4 linked regions of the Caenorhabditis elegans genome follow. The protein of the gene in region 4 purifies or fractionates together with the protein of the main gene of each other region. This does not show direct contact. Each region holds a gene or a part of one and is shown on either strand. Other genes may lie near its edges.

Region 1 (5,367 bases), on a different chromosome or scaffold from region 4:
GGAGCCTAAAACAAGTCTGCTTTTTTTCATTTTCTGAAAAGTTTCCAAAAGGACCTTGAATGTTTAAATATGGATTTCCTGAAAACAAAAATTTTGAACGTAAATTATGGAAATTGTGTATGAAAATATGTCTCAATTAGTTGCTCTAATTGGTTTGGTTTGTAAAAAACGTTTTAAAAGTAAGAACCCAAGAATTTTAAATTTAGACTAAATTATTTGCTTTTTAGAAATAAAAAAACATTTTTATATTTTGATATATAAAATATATGTGTGAAACTTACCTGAAATCATTTTTGTTGTAAATTATGATTCCCAGCTACAACCTTCAAAGCAGAAACAAAACGAAGAGTGGAGCAGAGAATGTTGAGCTCAGTTGACAACTGTTACACCATCATTTCATTTCAATCACATTGTTGTTTCTCACTCTAATTCTCAACCTTATGTATCACTAACATCTAATAAATTTTATTCGATTTTCGCATATTCTTTCATCTCAACTGATGTTTCTGAATAATCAAGTGTCAATTTTTAAATTGCTGACAAAAATACAACCGTGTTCATGAATTGCACTCTAATTCTTCTCATAACCCCACAGTTAACTGAAATGCTGTTCAAATGACCACTTGCTTTTGTGTCATACACCCATTTTGCACCCATTGATACTTTCTATCCGTTCCAAGTGTAAACTTTTCTCTCTATCACTTTTATTTTTGCAACAAGTAGATCAAATGATTTATTAATGCCTAAATAACCAGTTTTTATGCAGTACTGACAATCTTTGTAGGTTTGTCTTCTTCTCTTCGCAGCAATGCGAACATCACTTGAACAGTTTCATCGAGACCATATTCTGGATTCCATCCCCAATCCTTACGTGCTTCACTGTCATCCAATGACATAGGCCATGAATCGGCTGAAAAAAATTATTTTAGTTTTTTTAAAAGAGGTATTTCTTTTTGCAAGTCCACTTGCAAAAATGATCATATATCACCTACCAATAGACTGCCTTGTTGGACAGATATCGTAATCAATCTCGAAACCTGGCATCACTCTTCGAATTGCATCAGCAATTTCCTCTGGTGTGAATGAGAATCCCGTTACATTGTATGTTCGCCTCTTCAATGATTGACTGTCAGCAGCCAAAAGTTGAATGACTGAAGCCATACAATCAGTGTCGTACATCATTGGAAGACGTGTGTCTGGTCGAAGGTAGCAGGTGTGCTTGCCTTTTTGAAGAGCGTCGTAGAAAATTTGGATTGCGTAGTCTGAAAGGAGGATAGTTTTGACTGTGTACGTGAGAAATATTCTTTTCAAAAATGTATCAACTGATCAACTTTGACCACTTTTTGATACCGTTTGTCTGCAAGGAAATTATCTCTAATCGTGTTACAAAACCTTTCTAATTGAAAAGGTCGTATCAAAAATTAGTTGGGAAGTAATTCGAAACCATTCATATAGGGCTAAAAGGACCAAATTTCATAGTAAAACTTTTCCAAAAGTTTTTGGAAAATTTTTATTGCCAGTCAGAAAGTGGCAATTACTGAGTTTTGCCATTTTTCAAAAAAAAAAAATCTAAAACATTGTTGCATGTTCAAATCCCAATGTTGAACTATGAACATTTTCAACATAATCAAACAGCTGTAAGAAATTTTTTTCTGATTTTTTAATCGACGACTTGCAAAAGATAGGTGAAAACTGAGATTTCACCTTTTCAAATTTTTTTCTCTAAGTTTTATTATAATATTTGGTCATTTTAGAATTGACCGTACTTCATCTTTAAAGGAAAAAAGTTTCAAATTCTCGTTTAATTATTATATAATTTTACTCACCAGTAGTTCCACCACCTGGCTTTGTCGCTGAGATAATACCCGGGAATCTCATGCTTCTGAAATCAACCCCAAACCGATGATTGAAATATTCTCCGAGACGTTCTGCATATACTTTACTGACTCCATAAATGGTTGTAGGACATTGTACTGTAAGATCTGGAGTGTTTTCTCTTGGAGTTGTTGGTCCAAAAGCTCCAATTGTGGATGGAATGAACACTTTTAGCTTATGTTTTCTGAAACAATACAATGTCAAGATATAGTCCAATACAAGTAGGAACTTACGCAGCAACTTGCAAAATGTTCTCAACTCCTCTACAATTCACTTGCAGAGCCAACGGAACATTTGTTTCTCCAACAGCTGATAGAAGTGCAGAGAAATGAACAATTGTGTCGATGTTTTTGTTAACAACGATTTCTTCAATAGATCCTTGATTCAAAATATCCAGGTAATTGTAGTCGGCTAAAATACACAATAAATTAATTTTCTGTTGAAAATATGGAAAGCAGTTTCAACTTACAAACATCTGTAGCATTTGCAGGAAGACGAACAATATCACTCATAACAACGCATTCAGATCCATACATGTACTTGTAGACTGAATTTAAACCTCTTCCAAGCTGCCCAAGAGATCCAGTGATTAAAACTCGAGGAGCTTTTTGTGTTTGACTGATTGTTTTAAACCGTAATAAAGGATCAACTGGTAAAGGTGAATAGTTTCTTCTGGCATTGTGAATTCTTCCAAAAACTCGCAAGTTTTTCATTTTTTGTGTGACACGGAAGCAGACGAAGAACAGTTGATAATCAAAAAAGTTAACAGTTAGAAAAATGAGTAATCAAATCAAGTGTAGTTATGTGGGAATTTTCTTAAAAGAGGAACCAGTGAGGTCGCCTGATCAGAGACTTAGACATCGACGCCTTCTGATTTCAACGAAATGGGTGGAGGGTTGATCTTATAACTTGATGACGACGACGACGAAGACATACACTCATTTGTCCTCTTCCCACACGTGGTCATTGTCTAATTCAATTATCACGCAATTTGACGGATGCTGCCTGCTGAAGGCCTGTCCCCCCCCCCCCCCCAATTGCTAGAGAGACGAATCAAAGATAAGTATGTACCTTTTTTGTTCCCAACGCATACCTAGAGACAAACACGTGTTTCGTTAAAAAGTTACTTTGGGATACAGTTTTGGTACGGATGTACTCAGATTGTTCAGATTTTAAAGATTTTCGTAGGCTTTTTTGAAAAAATTATAAGAGTAAGTAGAGTGACTAATAGTAGTGTGACTGACTAGATGCCACGTGGGATGATATAATAACAAGCGTGACTGTATGATTAAAAGTCTAACATATGACACCCGTCTTGCCTTGGCTGGACTATCCGAATTAGAAATTTCAGCTAGTCACGATGATTGAAAAATGTAGGATCTGAAGCCAATATAACTAATTGAGGTCTCTCAAAATATTAATAAATTCAATTTTTTGGATAAAAAGATCAAAACATAGACTGGTAAGATTGAAAAATCAGTTAAAAATTTAAAGTGTTGTGGTATTCTAGTTTTGGGATAACTGTTGGGATCACCACTGTTAAGATCTCCACTGCAATATTTCTCTCAAAAAAGACGGGAAGTTGGTGAAAATTTCTACCGGAAAGGTGTCGTTGTTTGTCAAGCTGGCTGGGCAGGTTGTTGGCCAAATTTCAAATATTACTTTTAAACATTAAATTATTATTTTACAAATAATATCAAAACCACATTTATTTGTCTATTCATTTATTGAAGGAAATTATGAATCAGCCATCCATCAGTTTGTTTCATCCTTGAGCAATGGTTTCTCGCGAACTTCAAGGCGGCCACTCGTTGGACGGAGAATTTCGAACGAGCACTGTAAGAATGCACATTTATTACAACATTTCAATTAAAAATTTTTACCTGAAGCTTCTCGTCGCAAGACATGAAGGCAGCACAGTTGTCGAATTGACCACAGTAATGAGGAGCCGAGAAGATTGTCTAAAAATTTTTAATGTTCCTTTCTCTCGGCACTTTTTTTTTACTCATACCACCAATTTCCGACCAGCAAAGAACTCATAACCGTCTTGAACAACTTGATGGGCACGACAGATCAGGTCAAGCTTAAAATCGGAGCACACTTTCAGAACAGCATCTCTTCCGAATCCACACCCGGCACCTCGGTTGTTTTCCTGAATAAAGTTGATGAAATCGATCTTTTCTTATCAGAAAGTTACCATAAACCCAGAAAGACCACTAATAGGATCGGCCCACAAAAGATCAGCTACCAGTCTCTCCTTGCCGTCATGGCCTATTAATTTTTCTCAGGTTGTCCAAAGTGAAATCCTTTGACATACTAGGCGATAGTCCTCCGTGCATGCACAAGATCTTATTAGCAATGAGTCCGCAGAGTGGAAGCCAATTGAATACGTCCTGAAAGTACCGTTTTTCCTGTATTAATATTGCACCTTATTGTTCAATTTTGGTAAAAAATCAAATTTACCTGGAAAGCCGTGAACATGCGAACACTTTGATAGCGTTTCTGACACTCTTCATAGAATCCATATACCTTGTTGACAAACTCGCACTCATGGTTTCCACGCAACAAGAATAAATTGCCCGGGAATTTCACCTGGAATCATGACTTGAAAAATGTTTCAAAGAAGTTCACGCCATGGGATTTGGAAGATCGGGAGAGAGAAATAAACGTCCAAAAGATCCATCACTCCAGTTGACGTCATTTTTCAAATTTGACAGCTCATCGGAGCAGCATCAACTTTCTGTCACTTTGATACTTGAGAGATGCGCACTTTTTTGCAGAGCAATATGTGATGGACAATAAATATGTTTCTTTTTGAAAACACATTTATTTATCACATGTGTACGCTTATTTTGGAAAATCTAAGCGGTCTCTGCAAAAATCCCCTGTTTTGGCATTCTTTGTGTCAATGATTAATTCTGGCGCGTCACAATTTTTGATCCTAGCTTCTTTTTGCAAAACTTAAAGCAACAAACCTTATAAGCGAGAAGAAGAACAATGGTTTCAATGCTAAATCTTCCACGGTCCACATAGTCACCAAGGAATAAATAATTCGCAGTCGGCGGCCATCCACCACGATGGAAGAGACGAAGAAGATCCGGGAATTGTCCATGGATGTCACCGCACACCTTTATCGGAGCATTCATTTCAACCATTGATTTCTGTCTTTTAAATACATCCAGTGCCAAATCGAGAAGCTTTAGAACTCGTCCTTCCGTGATCACTTCGGAAAGTAGCTTTTCGTGAGTACTAGCGCTCAGGACATCAATTATTATGTTGTCAACGACGTCGTCTTTCATAATCTAAAACATCAAACCTTTTTAACTTTTGATTCCTGGAAGAGAAAAAGAGAACTCACCTTTCGGAAATCACTTTCAATTGAAAATAATTTTTTTTCCTAGTTTTACTCACATCTACGTGTCTTTTTGTAAACAATTTTTTTTTCACGGCGCCGTGAATAATTTAATAATTTTGTAAACCATATTGATTTAT
Region 2 (4,629 bases), on a different chromosome or scaffold from region 4:
GAAATTGGAAATTGATACCGTATTTCCTATGTCAGTTTAGCATCCCTACAGATTTTTAAGTAAATTAGAAATTTATTCACTTGTTGCCAGACCTACACATTGTTTGAAATAAATAAATAAATAAATAATTTTTTTGCCAAAGAACAATCATTTTTCCTTTTTACCACTAATACCTGTATACTTTTTCTCGGCGTACTTCGTCCCATCGACTAACTACTATTTCATTCAACACCACTACCCAATCTCTTATTTTGAAATCATGGTCCAAGTGGAATCTTCTCAATTCTTTCATGTTTCCGTTTAATCAATTACGGATAAAATGATTCAAGTATTCTGGAGTAAAGCTATGGTTCCATATTGTCAGTTCTTCACACTTCATCAATTTGAAGTCCTCAAGTGTAAATCCTGGATTGAAGTAAGAATCCAGTCGGCGAATATTGAATAAGTTAAATTTAAAATTACAGATAAATTACGATTTAGTTTATTATAATTATTAATATTAATGAGGAAATCAGTACTTACTATATTTTTTGTCAAAGTATAAAGTTTTGTTAATAAAGTTTTGTTCCAGTTTTTTGCTTGATTCTCTAGTAATTATTCGAGTACAAACCAGGGGTGGGCGGCAAATTTACCAAATTTGCCGAGTCGAAAAGTGTGTGGGTTTGAAGCCCGATAGCATAATATTTTCAGTCCGGCTGATCTTTTTGATATCCGTAAAAAGCTCAATTTGTTGTTGTTATTGACCAAATCGTTTGGATCATTTATGAGTTTTCTCTACAATGGACAAAAATAAAGATTGTTGTTGTTTACGTTTTGCAAATATTAAAAGTTATTTGAAAATCTCGTACTTGATTAAAAAACTCCTCTCATAAAAAGCAGCACGTTTGCAACTTTAAATCATAATTTTGTTTGCCATGTACTTCATTCTCTGCCTCCTAGCAATTGGTGTCAATGCTCAATTCACTTCAACTGGTCAATCAAGCATTGTGGATGCTCATAACAAATTGAGATCCGCTATTGCAAAGAGTACCTATGTTGCGAAGGGAACCAAAAAAGAACCAGCAACTGATATGAGGAAAATGGTAGGTTTTAAATTGCCCAATTATGTCAAATAAAAAACTTAAAGTTTTCTTTTTTCAAGAGTTTCAAGTCATTCAAGTTGGGGTAACTTTTGGCAATCATATTTGAACAAAAAGCCCAATGATGATACTTCAATAAACTTTTCAGGTCGTGGATTCCACCGTAGCTGCGTCGGCTCAGAATTATGCGAATACGTGCCCAACTGGACACTCAAAGGGAACTGGATATGGGGAAAATTTGTATTGGTCTTGGACTTCTGCGGATGTTGGATCCTTGGATTCCTATGTGAGTCGCATAACTTTTCTGGGACAGAAATCAATAATTCTTTCCAGGGAGAAATCGCCGCTGCCGCATGGGAAAAGGAATTCCAAGACTTTGGCTGGAAGTCTAACGCAATGGATACCACCCTATTCAACAGTGGAATAGGACACGCTACTCAAATGGCTTGGGCAAACACCAGCTCCATCGGGTGTGGAGTCAAGAATTGTGGACGAGACGCATCGATGAGAAATATGAACAAAATAGCTGTAGTCTGCCAGTATAGTCCACCGTAAGCACTGAAGTTTTTGATTTTTTTTAACTCAAAATTGTTCAAAAATATTCAGAGGAAACACTATGGGACGGCCGATTTATAAGGAAGGAACTACGTGTTCCAGCTGTTCCGGATCTACTAAATGTGACACTGCTTCTGGGCTTTGCGGATAATGAGAGATTTCACTTTTTGTGTCTGTAATTTTTTAATTTATTTGTTTTGTTTTAATCTGGGAATTAATTTACTAATGAAGCATTTGTTTTTTCTTGGTGATTATATAAAAAAAATAAAGCGAAAACTTTAAATTACACCAAACTTTTTTAAAATTTACGAAAATGCACACAACATCAAGTGCAGGCAAAAGTAAAACATTCTACTTGCCTATGTGCCAACAACAAAATTAGGAAGAAAATTCACTTCTTCCTAATCAGAATACTTGTTGACTTGACTCAAATGTTCATAATTACTGATAAAAGTCAATTCTTTGGTCTTGTGCTGCCCACTTCCGATCATACGTAGCTTACGATTTCTCAATTATCATACAATTTTACAGGTTTTCGCGTGATAAGACTCCTATAAAATGAACCGCAGTGATAAACATATTCGTGTTGACTTGCACTTTTTTCTCCAATTATGAATTACTTGTTGCTGGTTGTGGCGCTTGCTGTTGGCTGCTCCGCTGATTTCGGCTCTTCCGGACAAAACGGAATTATCAATGCACATAACACTCTGCGGTCTAAAATTGCAAAAGGTACCTACGTGGCAAAAGGAACTCAGAAATCGCCGGGAACAAATCTGTTGAAAATGGTATGTACATAACTAAGGTTCTCAGATTTATTTTTGATTTCAACTTTTCAGAAATGGGATTCCGCAGTCGCCGCATCCGCCCAAAACTACGCAAACGGGTGTCCGACGGGACACTCTGGAGATGCAGGCCTTGGGGAGAATTTGTATTGGTATTGGACAAGTGGATCTCTGGGAGACCTCAATCAATATGTCAGTCATTTAGTCTACCTTGTGCCTGCCTGCCTAGACCTACTGCCTATTTTGTTCAAATTTTGCCTAAATACAACATGCGAATATTGGCAGTAGGCAGGAGGCAGGCGCTTGATACCTTCTTTATTTTAAAAGTTTCTGAAATTTCTATAATCAATCTTTTCATTCAGGGATCTGCTGCGTCGGCATCATGGGAAAAAGAATTCCAAGATTACGGATGGAAGTCTAACCTTATGACTATCGATCTCTTCAACACAGGAATCGGACACGCGACTCAAATGGCGTGGGCGAAATCCAACCTGATCGGATGTGGAGTCAAGGATTGTGGAAGAGACTCAAACGGCCTGAACAAAGTAACCGTCGTGTGCCAGTACAAGCCGCAGTAAGTGAGATTTGTTGACTAGTCTATGTTGACTGTGTCTGCGAATGTTGTGTTTTGTGTTGTTCTCTAGGATAGGTTTGCAAAAAAGATAAATTTTTGGTCACGTTCCCTGAAACAAAATCCAAAAAATTAGGCAATTTTCAACAAATTTTGATCATTTTGAGGAGATCATTAAAAACAAAAAACCCAATAAAAATTATACAAAAATACGAAAAATATTGTTGTTGGCGAAAAGTGAACTGTGCTTCGACAACTGGTAAAGTAGTCTTGAACACTTTGTGAGTTAGGATTTTTCTGAAGAGTAAAAAGTAGTTTTAGGAAAATTAATTTCAACCGAGACAAAATTTTTAACATAAAAAAAAATTGAAAAGTGTATGTGCGAGAGAGCCCTGTTGAATACAAGCTACTGTTTGCTAATACATCAATTTTCAGAGGAAACTTCATTAATCAATACATCTACGTATCGGGAGCAACCTGTTCCGGCTGTCCATCAGGAACGTCATGTGAGACTTCCACAGGGCTCTGCGTCTAAACTTTAATAATGCAATGTGTTTTCAAACTTTCTGTAGATAATAAATAAAATTGTGTGCTAGTTGAAAACCAGAACACAAACAACCTTTGATCAAAATGCCTATGTAACAAATGCGACGATTACGTGTTCGAAATCCTATTGGCAGATTTGGAGTATAATGAGCAGTTAGAACTTTATTGGGAGGTCAAAGACTACTTGTGTCTAGAGATGTATCTAAGTTATGAAAAAAGTTCAAGCTATAGGTTTTTTGACTACGATATCTTGTATGTATTTTCAAAGATGTTGGTGATTTAGTTGAAAGTTAACAGCTTGAAAACGTTTTTATTTTTCCGTTTCTGACTTCCATGAATTTCAAAAAATTACCGTATGTCTGTATTGTTACTATCTACTGTGTGAAATTTCAAAAAATGAAATCCAACTTCAGCCTCCCTTTTGTATATAAAACAAACAATGTCAACATAAAACTCTTACCAATTTAGTCTATTTCTATTAAAGCACACGTTCTTTAGTTTTTTCCCTCTTCCCATGACTTTTAGTTTCCCTCACGGCGACGACGACATCCAGTTGTTCATACAAACTAAAATCTCCTATAAATATCCAACCTACTAGTTGTATTTTCAACAGACAACATGCACACCTTTACTCTTCTCGTTTTGGTTACCCTTCAGATTGGTAAGTTTTTTTTTTGGAAATTTTTGAAACTAATTTTCTTCAATTTTTCAGGAGCTTATGCTCAATTCAGAGAAAGCACTCAACAATTCATTGTGGACCTTCATAATAAGCTTCGTACTTCAATTGCCAAGGGAACATATGTGGCTAAAGGGACAACAAAAGCAGCTGGTAGTAATCTTTTGAAAATGGTAGGTTTTCGGCAGTTAGTTACTTTGTGATTTTCCAATGAATGGAACCTTCAGTTGAAGGTCTTTGCTAGGTTCAAGTGCTCTTCAGAGCATTTTCTAAAGTTTCAGTCGGCTTCTCTACAGATCTGGGAGCACTTGATCTGGAGTTAATTAAAGGGTCTGATGTAGAGCTGGCGTAGACTTCTTAGACCTCGCCTACTATCGCCTACTACTCACTCCTTATACCTCCAATACCATTTCAGAAGTG
Region 3 (6,424 bases), on a different chromosome or scaffold from region 4:
GGCGATACAATGTGGATTAGAACGCGAAGATGTTTATCAGAAAGTGCTGGTTGTAATTGTACAGGAAATAATACTGAATCTACAACAACTTGTCCGTGTAGAGCAATGACATCAATTGAATCAGGGTTAGAAAAACTTTCAATCAGTTTCACATGTGAAATGGGTTCTTTATACTGGAAATATGATTACAATGGAGATTATATTAACGGATGGTATCAAATGATTATTGTTTGAAATTTGATAAAAATTTGTGTTATTCTATTTTTAAAATCTCGAAACAAAAAATTTTCAAAGCATTTTGCACCTACAAATTAAAAAAAACTTTTTACCGTTTCCCATTGATGGTATAACACTTTTTTGAAATCACGCAACATTGGTATACGGAGCTTCAGTTGTGTTCGAGCTTTTACAGCCTTTCTGAGCCTTTGTAGAGTTTCCTGAAGTTATTCGCACGCAATACAAAGTTGACATTGGAGAATCAGACGGACGAGTTCTGAAAAACTTTAAGTTTTGAAAATTGTATTTTTGAAATTATTTGTCATCGTGCGAAGAATTTCAAACGGAAGACCTTTTTGATGCACAACCCTTTCAAGCCAATTAGCAAATTAATGAGAGTTGATAAATTTATAAATTCTCCAGATATGTGAAATGGATTCTTTATCACGTGGAGAATAGAAATTAAAAATAAAAGTCGTGAGCGAGTTAATCTTTGTATTCATCGACTTCGCGACAACATTGATACAATAATATTGTGAGAACAGTTTTTAAAGTAAAATTAGAAATTGGCGTGGAAATAAATTAAATTTTGGTGTTATTTCATATAAATATTATTTTATAAATACATTGTGAAAGTTCTACAATGATTTTTGGCACTTAATAAATAGTTTTAAACATTTTCCCCGTGGGCGCTATCACTATTTTAAATTTTCCCCGTTTCACATTAATCATATAAATTCATTTAAACTAACGCAACATTATCGTTTTGGTTCTAAATGAGAAACTATTTTCCAGTGTTAGAAGCCTTTTAAGCATTTCCTGACATCCGGGTACCAAAGTTTTAATAAATTTTTTCAATTAAACATTTAAAAAATTTTGCCGTTTCACGTCGACGATATGTATAAATCTGAAAACTTTGCTTATACGTTTAGATTTTTATTTTTTGCAAAAATTTTAGCTTTCAAAGAAATTTGAAATTGTTTGTATATTTTGAATTTATTCAAAAACTGGATTTATTGGGAAATATACAGTTTGTGAAATATTATAGCTTGGATCCTTGTGATCTCTTTTGCAAAAACTGAGCCAAATCGCAAACCCATCTTGGTTGTTCATTTGTATACTTCCGGAATTCTTCCATTATATGCTCGTACGCTCTGAAAATCAAATTTAAAGTTCAGCAGAAACCTTTACATTTTAAAACTGACTTTCCATCAGATGCTCCCAGAGCTGAATGTAAAATGAAATCATCTGGAGCAATCGAGTCCACTAAAGCAATGGCCTCGGGTTTTAATTCGGCTACAGCGAGTCTAAGCTTCTCTCGAAGATCTTCTCCAAACTTTCCACCAGAAGCATATCCAGTAATATAAAGAGTTGCAAGATGTCTTTCCAAAAGGAAAAGTGAGAAAAGATTCAAAACTTTTTGAAGAACCGGCTTCACACTTTGATCTTCAATTTCTTTCAAGAACTGTTGAACCCAATGGATCATTGTATGTTCTGTGTATGCAACAGACAAATTGACAGCTCTATGAATTTGAATTTCATTTCGAACTTCGAATGAATTCTTTCCAGATGCTTTTAGTCTGTAAGCTTCTGCCGAAGTTGTTTGAAGTAAGTGATAAGTGAGATATCGGTACGCAGACAACACGTCATTAACTGGATTCGAAGACCATGATGAGAACTTTGAAGGTTTTTGATTCAAGAATGACATAGTAGACATCGGGGTCTCAATGGATCCAATTGATTGAGCCTGAACATCAGAATCTCAATATGATTAAAGAATCTGACAATTAAGTTTACTTTTCCTAGCAAAATATTGCTGGTTTGTTGCAAAATCATAAAGTTTTCTCCTTCAAATGTTTGTGATGGATCGTTGTCATCTCGGAGGGTGTTCAATCGTGACATTTGTAGGTATCTGTAATTTAAATTTTAACTTTAATCTGGAAAAAATAGAAAGACGAATTCTCAAAAAATGAGTTTCTTAAAGTTAAGTTTCAGGTTATGTTAGGAAACATACCCATGACCTCCACAAGCTTTTCTAGCTTCTCCAAGGGATTCTACACCAAGCCACGTTGCAACCGGTTTAGCTCCAGACGACAATGCATGTACTTCTTTTGAGAACTCGGAGAGCTCGTCTGACTTTTCTCCCATTATGACTCTCATCATATATTCAGTGAAATGTCCGACAAACCTATAAAGTTTAACTAATTATTGAAAACAATTTGTTTAGAGTTCCCACTTCTTCTGGAATATTCTAATGCAAATTGCAGCGGATAGGTACGGGAATAGACGATACTGTTGAAGTGGATACTCGAGAACTGGGATCTCATTTTCAGCTGAATTATACAAAAGTTGAGAAATTGAGAAAAGGAATGGTGCTCACCGCCTTTTACTGGTCCAAACTGTCGCCGAGCAACACTGTATCGAATAGCAATTGTAGATGCAAAAGTGCAAGCCATCATTCCTTTTGCGATAATTCCGAGTCTGAAATTTGTGTTATTGTGAAACCATTGTTGGTAAAGTTTGAATTTTGAAACAGTATTTTGTTTGAAAAAAATCAATCGGAAAAACTTATAGATTGCACTGTTTTCCCAACTTTATGAATTCGTCTGCTTTTACAATTTCGAATTGTCCTAAGAATGCCATTTCCATTATTTCTATTTGTATTAAATACAATGGCTTCACTCTAGAAAATCAATTCATATTTTAAAAGTATCGATTAAAGCTGGAATAGATTCGTTTTGAGATTTTGCTTTTATTGATAATAAGGCTCGGCCGTGAAATTTGCATCTTGTATCTACTAAAACTGAGAAAAAAACAACACATTTAAAAAGTTGGTAAAACAGCGGCTAGAAATTCTTCAGAACCTGATTTTTTTAACAGAAATTCTTTTAGATACAAATTTCACTCAATTAAAAAATTTTTCTATACGGCCGGCGTCGTAAAGTATTGAAAACATACCTTCCAACTGACAATGTTCCCAAACTGACACTCTGCTTCTCACTTGCAGATTTGAAACTTGTCACATATTTTCCATCCGGAGTAATATCACAACCCTTATTCAAAAGTGCACTCAGAGGAGCTCTATGGTTCTTAAACTCCATCCAGCCATTTTCTACTCCCTGCCAGCATCCTGGTTTCGAGCCCATGTCTCCAATGGTAATTCCTGGTAGAGTTTGGAAAGTTCTAGGGCAACGAACTTGAATCACAAATCCATGAAATCCCTCGTTCTTTCCTTCGACATGAAGTTGAGCATAAACAACTACGTGAGTGGCCGAGTGAGCTAAAAAAATGGATTTTTTTAAATTTAAAATTAAAAATGTTTTAAAACCCACCGAGATTTCCAGCCCAACATTTGATTGCACTGACACTTGGAGTATTGAAAACAAGTTCTCCATTGTCAAATGTAGCTGTTGTTTGAATTTCAGCAGTGTTTGAACCATGGCCTACTTCTGTCAGACAAAATGCTCCGACGATCTGAAATTTGCTATTTTGCAAGGAAACCTAAACTTTCCAGATTTGAATACAATGCGCTTTTGTTTAAATTTCTTTAGAATAAATTATTTTCAAATTTGTTTTGATTTTTCTTTTTCTTGAGTACTTCTTAATTTTGTATGCTATTTTCTTTGAAATTCACCTCATTGTTTTCAGTTTTCTGAATCAAATCCTTATGTCTATCTGTTCCCATTGACTTAACAGCTGCTCCAAAAACATTTCCGTGGAGGAAAAGCCTTGCAGATGTGCCTTGATCATAAGCTTCAAGAGTTTCAGTCAATGCATGGAAGTTTTCAAGATCGGAGTACGGCTGAATATTCGAATATATTGAAAATCTACAATTTAATAAGAAATACATCTTTGAACAACCCCCATTCGACAATTTTCTTCCATCTCTGATGAACAACTTCTCTTTGCTCTTCTCTACTCAATACTCGATAATCTCTGTGAAATACTGGTTCTGACTTCATTTTAGCAACTACTTCTGACTGAAATATATATAAATATTTTATAAATCCAAAATCTACTATACCTTCAGTCTAACATGTTCTTCTCCTTCAACGGCTGCTTTCAATTTTTTCCAGTCGAAAGTTGCCATTTTCCGGTATTTGTCAATTAAAGGAGCACTCATTTTTGATCTGAAACTGAAAAATTTACTAAATAAATCCTTTAAATTCAAAAGATTCATTTTATTTTCAGCAGAATATATGTTAAAATAAACTGAACAAAATTAAGACAAAAGCAATTGCATATGTACTGGGTAGGAAGAGTGTAGTCTTATCAAAAACAAAGAAAATAGAAAGTAATTGAGAGACGCAGAGATCGAAGACAGTCTGACTACAGCGTGGTGGTATTGTATAAATAGGGGGAGGAATGGTCTTTTAAAATTATCGTAGTAGATTGTAATTAGCTGGTGTTTGTAAAAAGGGTCAGAGGAAATTAACTGAAATTTTACAGAAAATTCATGTTTCCTTGTTTTAAAGTGGGCTCGGAGAGAGAATGTGGACAAGTAAATAGTTTAAAACAACGTAGTGGATAATAAAAAATTTAGTATTATTTCCATAAGTGTAAAACATGTTTTTAAATAAAAATACGCTAAAAAATTTCTAAATACAGTTTTGGCGAAAGTGGGGGTAACACATTTCCAGGAGCGTACTGGTCAAAATAAAAATTAAATTAAATTAAAATTAAATTAAAAATTATTAGCACTTTAACTTCAATATTTCATACTTTTACAATATTTTCCAACATTTTTGCAGTTTAGACTTTGATGTAAACATTTTTAGCGGTTTCATAGTTTTCCCGAAATCAATTTTGGCTGAACTACCAAAACTTGAAATTACTGATAATAATAATAGGTTTGCTCTGACTTGAGCAATTATATTAGGTGTCCGATAAAACCTACTCATCAATTTTGTGGAATTTGGAAAAAAATGTGATTGCCAACTTTGTGATTTTGTTGAAAACCTCAATAGAGAGTTTGCTTTTTCTTCGAATTACTAGATGCGTTTCACTATTTTATAAGTTAAAATAAGTGGAACCACAAAGTTCAGGCAATATTTTTCTATCATTACTAACATTAACAAGAAGAGATTAGTTTAATTCATGATCAAGACTGTTTTTACGAGATCTTTTTTTCAGCTGAAGTTTCAATATCAAAACAGAGAAAATGCCTCTGTTCATATAGTATTCGTGAAACAGCATAATAATTTTTTTGTTTAATTTAAATTTGAACACAAGAGTTGGCCAATTGAAGCATGATTGAAATACAATTAAAACTATTTATTTTCCATCTTTTTTCATAATTTCATAATCTTATTTCCCTCTTCTCAAACAAGTCTTTCGTTTCATGATCTTGGCATAAAGAAGAGCTTGAAAACATTTCTAATCCTTTTTTCCTTTTTTGCTAATCTCTCAAAACCTCCTACATTTCAATAATCTCTAGCTCTAACGTCACACATTCTGAGCTTTTGAGAGAGTCAGAGAAGCCACAAACCCGCCCATTTTCTGAAGAAGAAATCACTCATTCTGCCTTCTTCGACTGCTTGGTGGCGGTCCTATCTTCTTTTATGCAATATATCATACTATGTTATTTTTCTGTTATTTTATTGCTTAAACATCAAGCAATTAGAGTAAGTTAGTAGTATAGTGGGAATAGTTGTGCAAAAGACTTAAAGTTGCGCATTTTTGCAAATTTCTCGGTTGGTCCCCCGTTTTAGAATAATTGAGGAATTTCACTGAAAACCGTGTGTGCCTATTAATTATTGCTTCATGTGTGCCAATGTTGCGAATAAGTTTCTGGCATTAATTAGTGTATAAAACGTTGAAATGTGTGGATCGTAAAGTTGTGCATTGAAAACGGGGATCCGAGTTGTGACCGGAAAACTAGTCGATCTGAAATTTCACACTACACATTAATTCACAATTAGCTTTTCACAACTCGTCAAACTATGCGTACAAGAGCTATTTTGAACACGTTTTAATGTACGGGAAGGAAATTCAAAACTCCACTCTAACCGCGGCCGGTTTCTATCATGACCCTGTGATTGGCGACCACCGTAGTCCTGGGTTTCAACAGCGTTGTGCCTCAATTTACAACCAGGACGAAATACAAGTTGCGGCAAACATTTCGATTGACTTGATGAATCAGCCGCGAGTGCTCTTGAACGGTTGTAATGTGAAACTTACAGTTTACCCAAATGATAGTAAATTTTTG
Region 4 (4,786 bases):
ATTCGGAATTATGGACGATTGTATCAAAAACTATGCTCCTCTGTGGCTGATATTCCTATCGGTATTTTCAGAACCAAAAAGATGGACACTAAGACGGTAAACACAAATCTGCTCAGTATCGACTAATTGTTTTTTTTTTTAATATTTTCAGGTATCCCTTGATCTTCAAGAACAATGCAAAGATTTTGAAAACACTGAAATGGGAAGAAACAAAGATATGTATGATCATGTGAAAAATCGAATGAGACTTCTTAATATAAAAGACACTCATACTTGTAAGTTTTATTCGGAATTAGTTTTCTATTTTTAAACCCTTTCTAGTCAATTGGAAATATGCTAGCCGGTGCAGATCAACAGGTATAAGCCGAAGAGTGGTGTGAACCAGCAGACAAAATAAAATTAGAAAACTTACTTTAATACTTACTATTTACTTTTATTTCATTTCATAATAAGGTTGAAGATTCTTTAAGTTTAATTCTAATTGCTTCAGTGTGATCATTTTTCTTGGTGCGGTTAGACGTGGTGAACTGTATTTTAAATTTCAGTGCTCGAAGGAAGCGATGAAAAGTCGCAAATCTCATATGTCATCATCAATCCTGCTCAAGATTTGGAACTAGAGTCCGGAGATATTGTGTACGATTTTAAATTCTATTTCAGATGAATTTTTGATCAAGAACTCATAAATGAACTTTCAGCTACGTAATCAGAAGTCCAATCCGGAAAGATGCAACCAACGCAAGAATTAACCCAAGAAGGGGTCTAAGACGCAGTAAAAATGTTAGTGAAACCATCGATTCAACAAATCAAGTCCCAACAATTGTCATTGATGAGAATAATTTGTAAACTTGCGTTTTTTGTACAATGCCCAACACAACGAAAAGTTGAATTTGCTGGAATATTTGCTCGTGTTTTAAAAATGAATATTTTTGTAATTTTATTTGTCGTAACATGATTCAAAATTAAATTTGTAGCGCTATACAAACAAACGGATTAAATGCTGAACGTTTGCCGGGCATCCTGTCACTGGACATCTGAAATTTTTCTCAAATAATTGATAGTTTAAAATAAAGAAAACTCACTTGTTATAAGTGTTTACGTATTGGTTGATACATGTGTAGCAGAATACATATCCAGATACAAAAAGCGCAGTATCATTAACTCTTTTCTTCAAACAAATTGGGCATTTATTGGTGTCCAAACTCAAAATTTCCGATTCAGATATGATCATTTTGTGTGGAGGTGAAGGAATAGCTCCGTCAAGGCCAGTCTTTGTAAGTTTTGCCAAATCTGTGTTGTACATATAATCCAAAAACTGTACAAAGAAGAGCCCATAAGCAAAGAGCCTTGAAACGATTCCAGGTAGTCCCAAAATAAATCTCCAGATGCGATTGAAGAATCTTAAATGAATATGTTCGTTTAATGTTCCTCTAGAAATTTGATACCCAGTTTGGAGATGAAGAGGAACAGCATTGAAAGCTTCCAAGTCTTCTGGCGTAAGATGTTTCAGAATCACGCCTGAGAAGTAAAGCCATGGCGAGTGAATGGAGCTGCGGTTCAAAATGTATGCAAGTTGTAGAGCACTTTTCACTGCCTTAAGAGCTGTCTTGATGTATGGCCAAATGATCACAAACATTTTTTGACACTTTGCTTTCATGCCCTGGAATTATAAACGATATTTCAAATTTATTTGTCTATACATACATTAATTGATGACCAGCTTCTGCATTCGTAAACTTCCTTGAGCCTGTCATAAAGCTGATTCAATTTATTCTCTACATAAGGCCATCCGACTAATGTAATAAGCGACATTATTCTTTCCCTACCATCGTTCGGTGGATTTCCTGTGCCTGATGCTATTCGCTTCATAGAATAAAAGTTTTCCGTGAACGACGCTCCTGAAACACATTATCTTTAGGTGAAAAATTGGAATTAAAAAACGTACCATAGTTTCTCAAATAGTGGTTTTGCAAAATGAGATCGAATATGATGTAGTATTCATCAAAGTTTCGGTGAACCGAAAGAAATGTTTTTGGCTTGAAGAATGCTAGATACTGAAATGTTCAATTTCAAATATTCGTTTCACTTTTATTCTTAACATACTTTTACAAGATGCTGTAAAGCCGGTCTGATTGATGTTGCAAGATTTTCTTGAGCGATTATATCAAAAACCGATGGCTGCTTTTCTTCAGTTTTTGGAGAAATTGACGAAGCCAGCTGCGAGGCACGAATAGTCGTACTCATTATTTCCTAAATTTTTCAGTTAAAAATAAGAGGAAATTGTTGAGATTATACTCATTAAAATTTACAAATAAAACCAAAAAAAAGGAGAGATATGAAAATGATTGAACACGACCATCGATTGCCGGAGGAGCGAGGACACTGTCCGTATCATACTACGACGTAGTGTGTCCTTGTCTTATCACGATTAGATAGTAATTGAAATGTGGAGGGTTAGAATTGCAACAATGTAACCTTTGCTTTTCTTAACTGTAGATCTATTGATGCAAAATACAATGAAAATAACGACTCTTTAATAAATGCATGAATAATAAATAAATGGGATTTTCAATTATTTGTAGTGAGTTTTACGGTGCGTGCTAGTTCTTTATGATTTTTTTAAAGAGACACCAAAACGTGGACAACTATATACATTATTTTAAATATAAAAACAATAAATCACGAATTGTTTGCACGCAACATTTGTTCTTATCTTAACTCTTATCAACTTCAATCCGCTTTTGGAAGAACTGAACCAACGTGGAGGGTGGTTTAATGTTTTTATTCAAATACGAACCGCAATTGGGGAATCATCACATAAATGATAATTCTATCAGTAAAAGTTACGGAAACTGAAAAAAAGTCAAACAACTGAAGATCGAATTTGAGGAAAAAACGGAAATGCAAAAATGGCACTGAATAGAAAAACTGTGTGCGTAGAATTGAGCGGTTCACTTGAGTAGATTTTAAGAAAAAGAACATGGGACTGGGAGAAATGAATAATGGGAAAATGATACTCGTAGATTCTAGGTGCGATCAAATGAAATGAAAGAAAATTTCAACTGAATTGTCGACATAAATACATGCATTTTTTAATTAAGTAGGCGCAATTGTGATAATACATTTTCTGAGGCTCTTCATCGATAATTACGTTGATAATCATCTGTGTAGGTGTAGTTTGCGTATCCACTGAAAAAAATAGTTTTTTGAAACATTTGAATTTATATTTAGAACATTTTTCATATCCAGATTTCAATAGCAGGGCTGTTACTTTTTCATTATTTAATATTTTTTGGGTTCTGGCAAACATTAAACATTTTTGTCGCATTTGTAATAATGCAAAATTTTTCTAAAACAGTATTTGTTGGTAATTTGCTACATCAACTTTTTGATCTTTATTGTTGGTTTTTGTGTTTCAAACTGAACTCGTTTTATTTCTGATACCGAGTATTTGAAAGATCATTTCAAAATGTGTAGTTTCAAAAAATATTCCAATTGATATTAATATGCTAACTTACGGCTTAGGCCTAGTGTCATATGTATCGGTAATGAACGATGACATGTGATGTGTTTCAGATGGTGGTTCCACAATGCTGAAATATATAAAATTATATTCAAAATTGCAAAGTTAAGGGTTATTTTTCGAAAAAATGGCTAAGCTAAAGTTATTGTGACACTTTTCTTTAAATAAAATTGTGAAACTTACTATTTTGGGAACGCGTGCATCTTAGAGTATAAACCTATTAATGAGTTTGAAATTATCACAATTGGTATCAACAGAACTAGGCAGATCAGCATACACATCCATGTCCCGTTCTGAAATTATAAATTGAAAACAGTTCCCCAATTTTTGTGTCATTTTTACATATGGATCAATTGTGTAAGCACAAACAGCAGCAGTTGTTTGCCGGGCAATTTGTGTCAACGGTTGACATGACGTGACCTCGCTCTCCATCTGAAAAGTCAAGCAATTATAGAATTTTTTGAAACACTTTTGCGTTATTACCTGGCTTTTGACATGAACTATGTACTGGTCGATGTTGTTAACCATTTGTTGGAATTCTTCTTTAGCTGCACGACCGAAATGCTCTCTCATGTTTTCAGCCAGTAAAGCCTGAGCATGCTGAAGCTTTACAAGAAGAGAAGAAACAGGAACTTGAAGCTGAGAAAGTCTGGAATAAGTATTTTATAGGAATTCAACATTTAAAGAATTTTCACTTTTCATCGAGTGAAGTAATGTTAGAGTACAATGCCTCTAATCTGCTCCTTAATGGTTTCGCAAATTGAATCTCTAACTCTCTGATTTGTTCAAGAACAAGAGTCACTGCCTTAGGACGACCCGAATTTGCGTCTAGAGATTCCTCGAATTCCCGCGTTTTGGATGCTAAGTCGAGTTCATCCATTGCATGCTTTATCTGAAACTCAAAGTTAAAAATTGCTCAATTATGTTTCCAATCTACAAACCGCATTCAGGCCTTGTTGGCTAACTTTTGAAACATTCACTGAGGCGAGTTTCTCCAAATCTCGAAGTTCGCTTCTTGAAATGAATGCATCAAGCGGACGAATTTCCGGCATATTTTCCATAGTTGTTCGCAAGGAAATTTGCAGTTGGTTGTATGCATCTTTTTCAAAATCCTGCAAAATTTATATTTAACATATCTATGTATAAGTTTTGTTAGTACCTGTAGTTTGTTCAAATGATACTTTTTGTCAAATCCATAAAAGTTGTACAGCGTCTCGTTTCTTGAACACGCTCTAATAATTTCTGCCGGCGATTTCGACTGAAGAG

What was found.
Region 1: the proteins of prx-12 (region 4) and F08F3.4 fractionate together in Caenorhabditis elegans (co-fractionation; one large-scale study listed by BioGRID). This does not show direct contact.
Region 2: the proteins of prx-12 (region 4) and scl-2 fractionate together in Caenorhabditis elegans (co-fractionation; one large-scale study listed by BioGRID). This does not show direct contact.
Region 3: the proteins of prx-12 (region 4) and acox-3 fractionate together in Caenorhabditis elegans (co-fractionation; one large-scale study listed by BioGRID). This does not show direct contact.

What each region holds. Positions count from the first base shown.
Region 1 is NC_003283.11:5,408,335-5,413,701, reverse strand, and holds F08F3.4 (L-threonine 3-dehydrogenase, mitochondrial), read right to left. Parts: upstream 2,748-5,367; 5' UTR 2,589-2,747; coding exon 2,345-2,588; intron 2,287-2,344; coding exon 2,109-2,286; intron 2,060-2,108; coding exon 1,827-2,059; intron 1,263-1,826; coding exon 993-1,262; intron 911-992; coding exon 759-910; 3' UTR 701-758; downstream 1-700. Other genes in the region: F08F3.10 (uncharacterized protein), read right to left, coding at 1-78, 282-291; C25A6.1 (Serine/threonine-protein phosphatase), read right to left, coding at 3,631-3,711, 3,759-3,836, 3,887-4,027, 4,073-4,146, 4,193-4,268, 4,339-4,467, 4,851-5,174.
Region 2 is NC_003282.8:13,055,477-13,060,105, forward strand, and holds scl-2 (SCP domain-containing protein), read left to right. Parts: upstream 1-2,233; 5' UTR 2,234-2,245; coding exon 2,246-2,419; intron 2,420-2,470; coding exon 2,471-2,608; intron 2,609-2,778; coding exon 2,779-2,990; intron 2,991-3,422; coding exon 3,423-3,522; 3' UTR 3,523-3,586; downstream 3,587-4,629. Other genes in the region: scl-1 (SCP domain-containing protein), read left to right, coding at 915-1,082, 1,228-1,365, 1,413-1,630, 1,686-1,785; scl-3 (SCP domain-containing protein), read left to right, coding at 4,152-4,194, 4,246-4,382, 4,625-4,629.
Region 3 is NC_003282.8:6,244,141-6,250,564, forward strand, and holds acox-3 (Acyl-coenzyme A oxidase acox-3), read right to left. Parts: upstream 4,353-6,424; 5' UTR 4,340-4,352; coding exon 4,241-4,339; intron 4,197-4,240; coding exon 4,065-4,196; intron 4,019-4,064; coding exon 3,851-4,018; intron 3,691-3,850; coding exon 3,549-3,690; intron 3,497-3,548; coding exon 3,175-3,496; intron 3,014-3,174; exon of another isoform or gene 2,993-3,013; intron 2,864-2,992; exon of another isoform or gene 2,842-2,863; intron 2,698-2,841; coding exon 2,597-2,697; intron 2,550-2,596; coding exon 2,453-2,549; intron 2,405-2,452; coding exon 2,231-2,404; intron 2,129-2,230; coding exon 2,014-2,128; intron 1,964-2,013; coding exon 1,422-1,963; intron 1,371-1,421; coding exon 1,259-1,370; 3' UTR 1,218-1,258; downstream 1-1,217. UniProt on the Caenorhabditis elegans protein: Involved in the first step of peroxisomal beta-oxidation by catalyzing the desaturation of fatty acid-derived side chains of ascaroside pheromones, which regulates development and behavior.
Region 4 is NC_003284.9:11,390,756-11,395,541, reverse strand, and holds prx-12 (Peroxisome assembly protein 12), read right to left. Parts: upstream 2,250-4,786; 5' UTR 2,242-2,249; coding exon 2,101-2,241; intron 2,052-2,100; coding exon 1,943-2,051; intron 1,896-1,942; coding exon 1,702-1,895; intron 1,658-1,701; coding exon 1,443-1,657; intron 1,398-1,442; coding exon 1,080-1,397; intron 1,032-1,079; coding exon 974-1,031; 3' UTR 923-973; downstream 1-922. Other genes in the region: slo-2 (RCK N-terminal domain-containing protein), read left to right, coding at 1-96, 152-275, 546-633, 696-843; prmn-1 (PRoMiNin (5-transmembrane domain glycoprotein) homolog), read right to left, coding at 3,135-3,186, 3,516-3,590, 3,704-3,813, 3,863-3,952, 4,004-4,169, 4,216-4,412, 4,462-4,632, 4,680-4,786. UniProt on the Caenorhabditis elegans protein: Component of a retrotranslocation channel required for peroxisome organization by mediating export of the PEX5/prx-5 receptor from peroxisomes to the cytosol, thereby promoting PEX5/prx-5 recycling.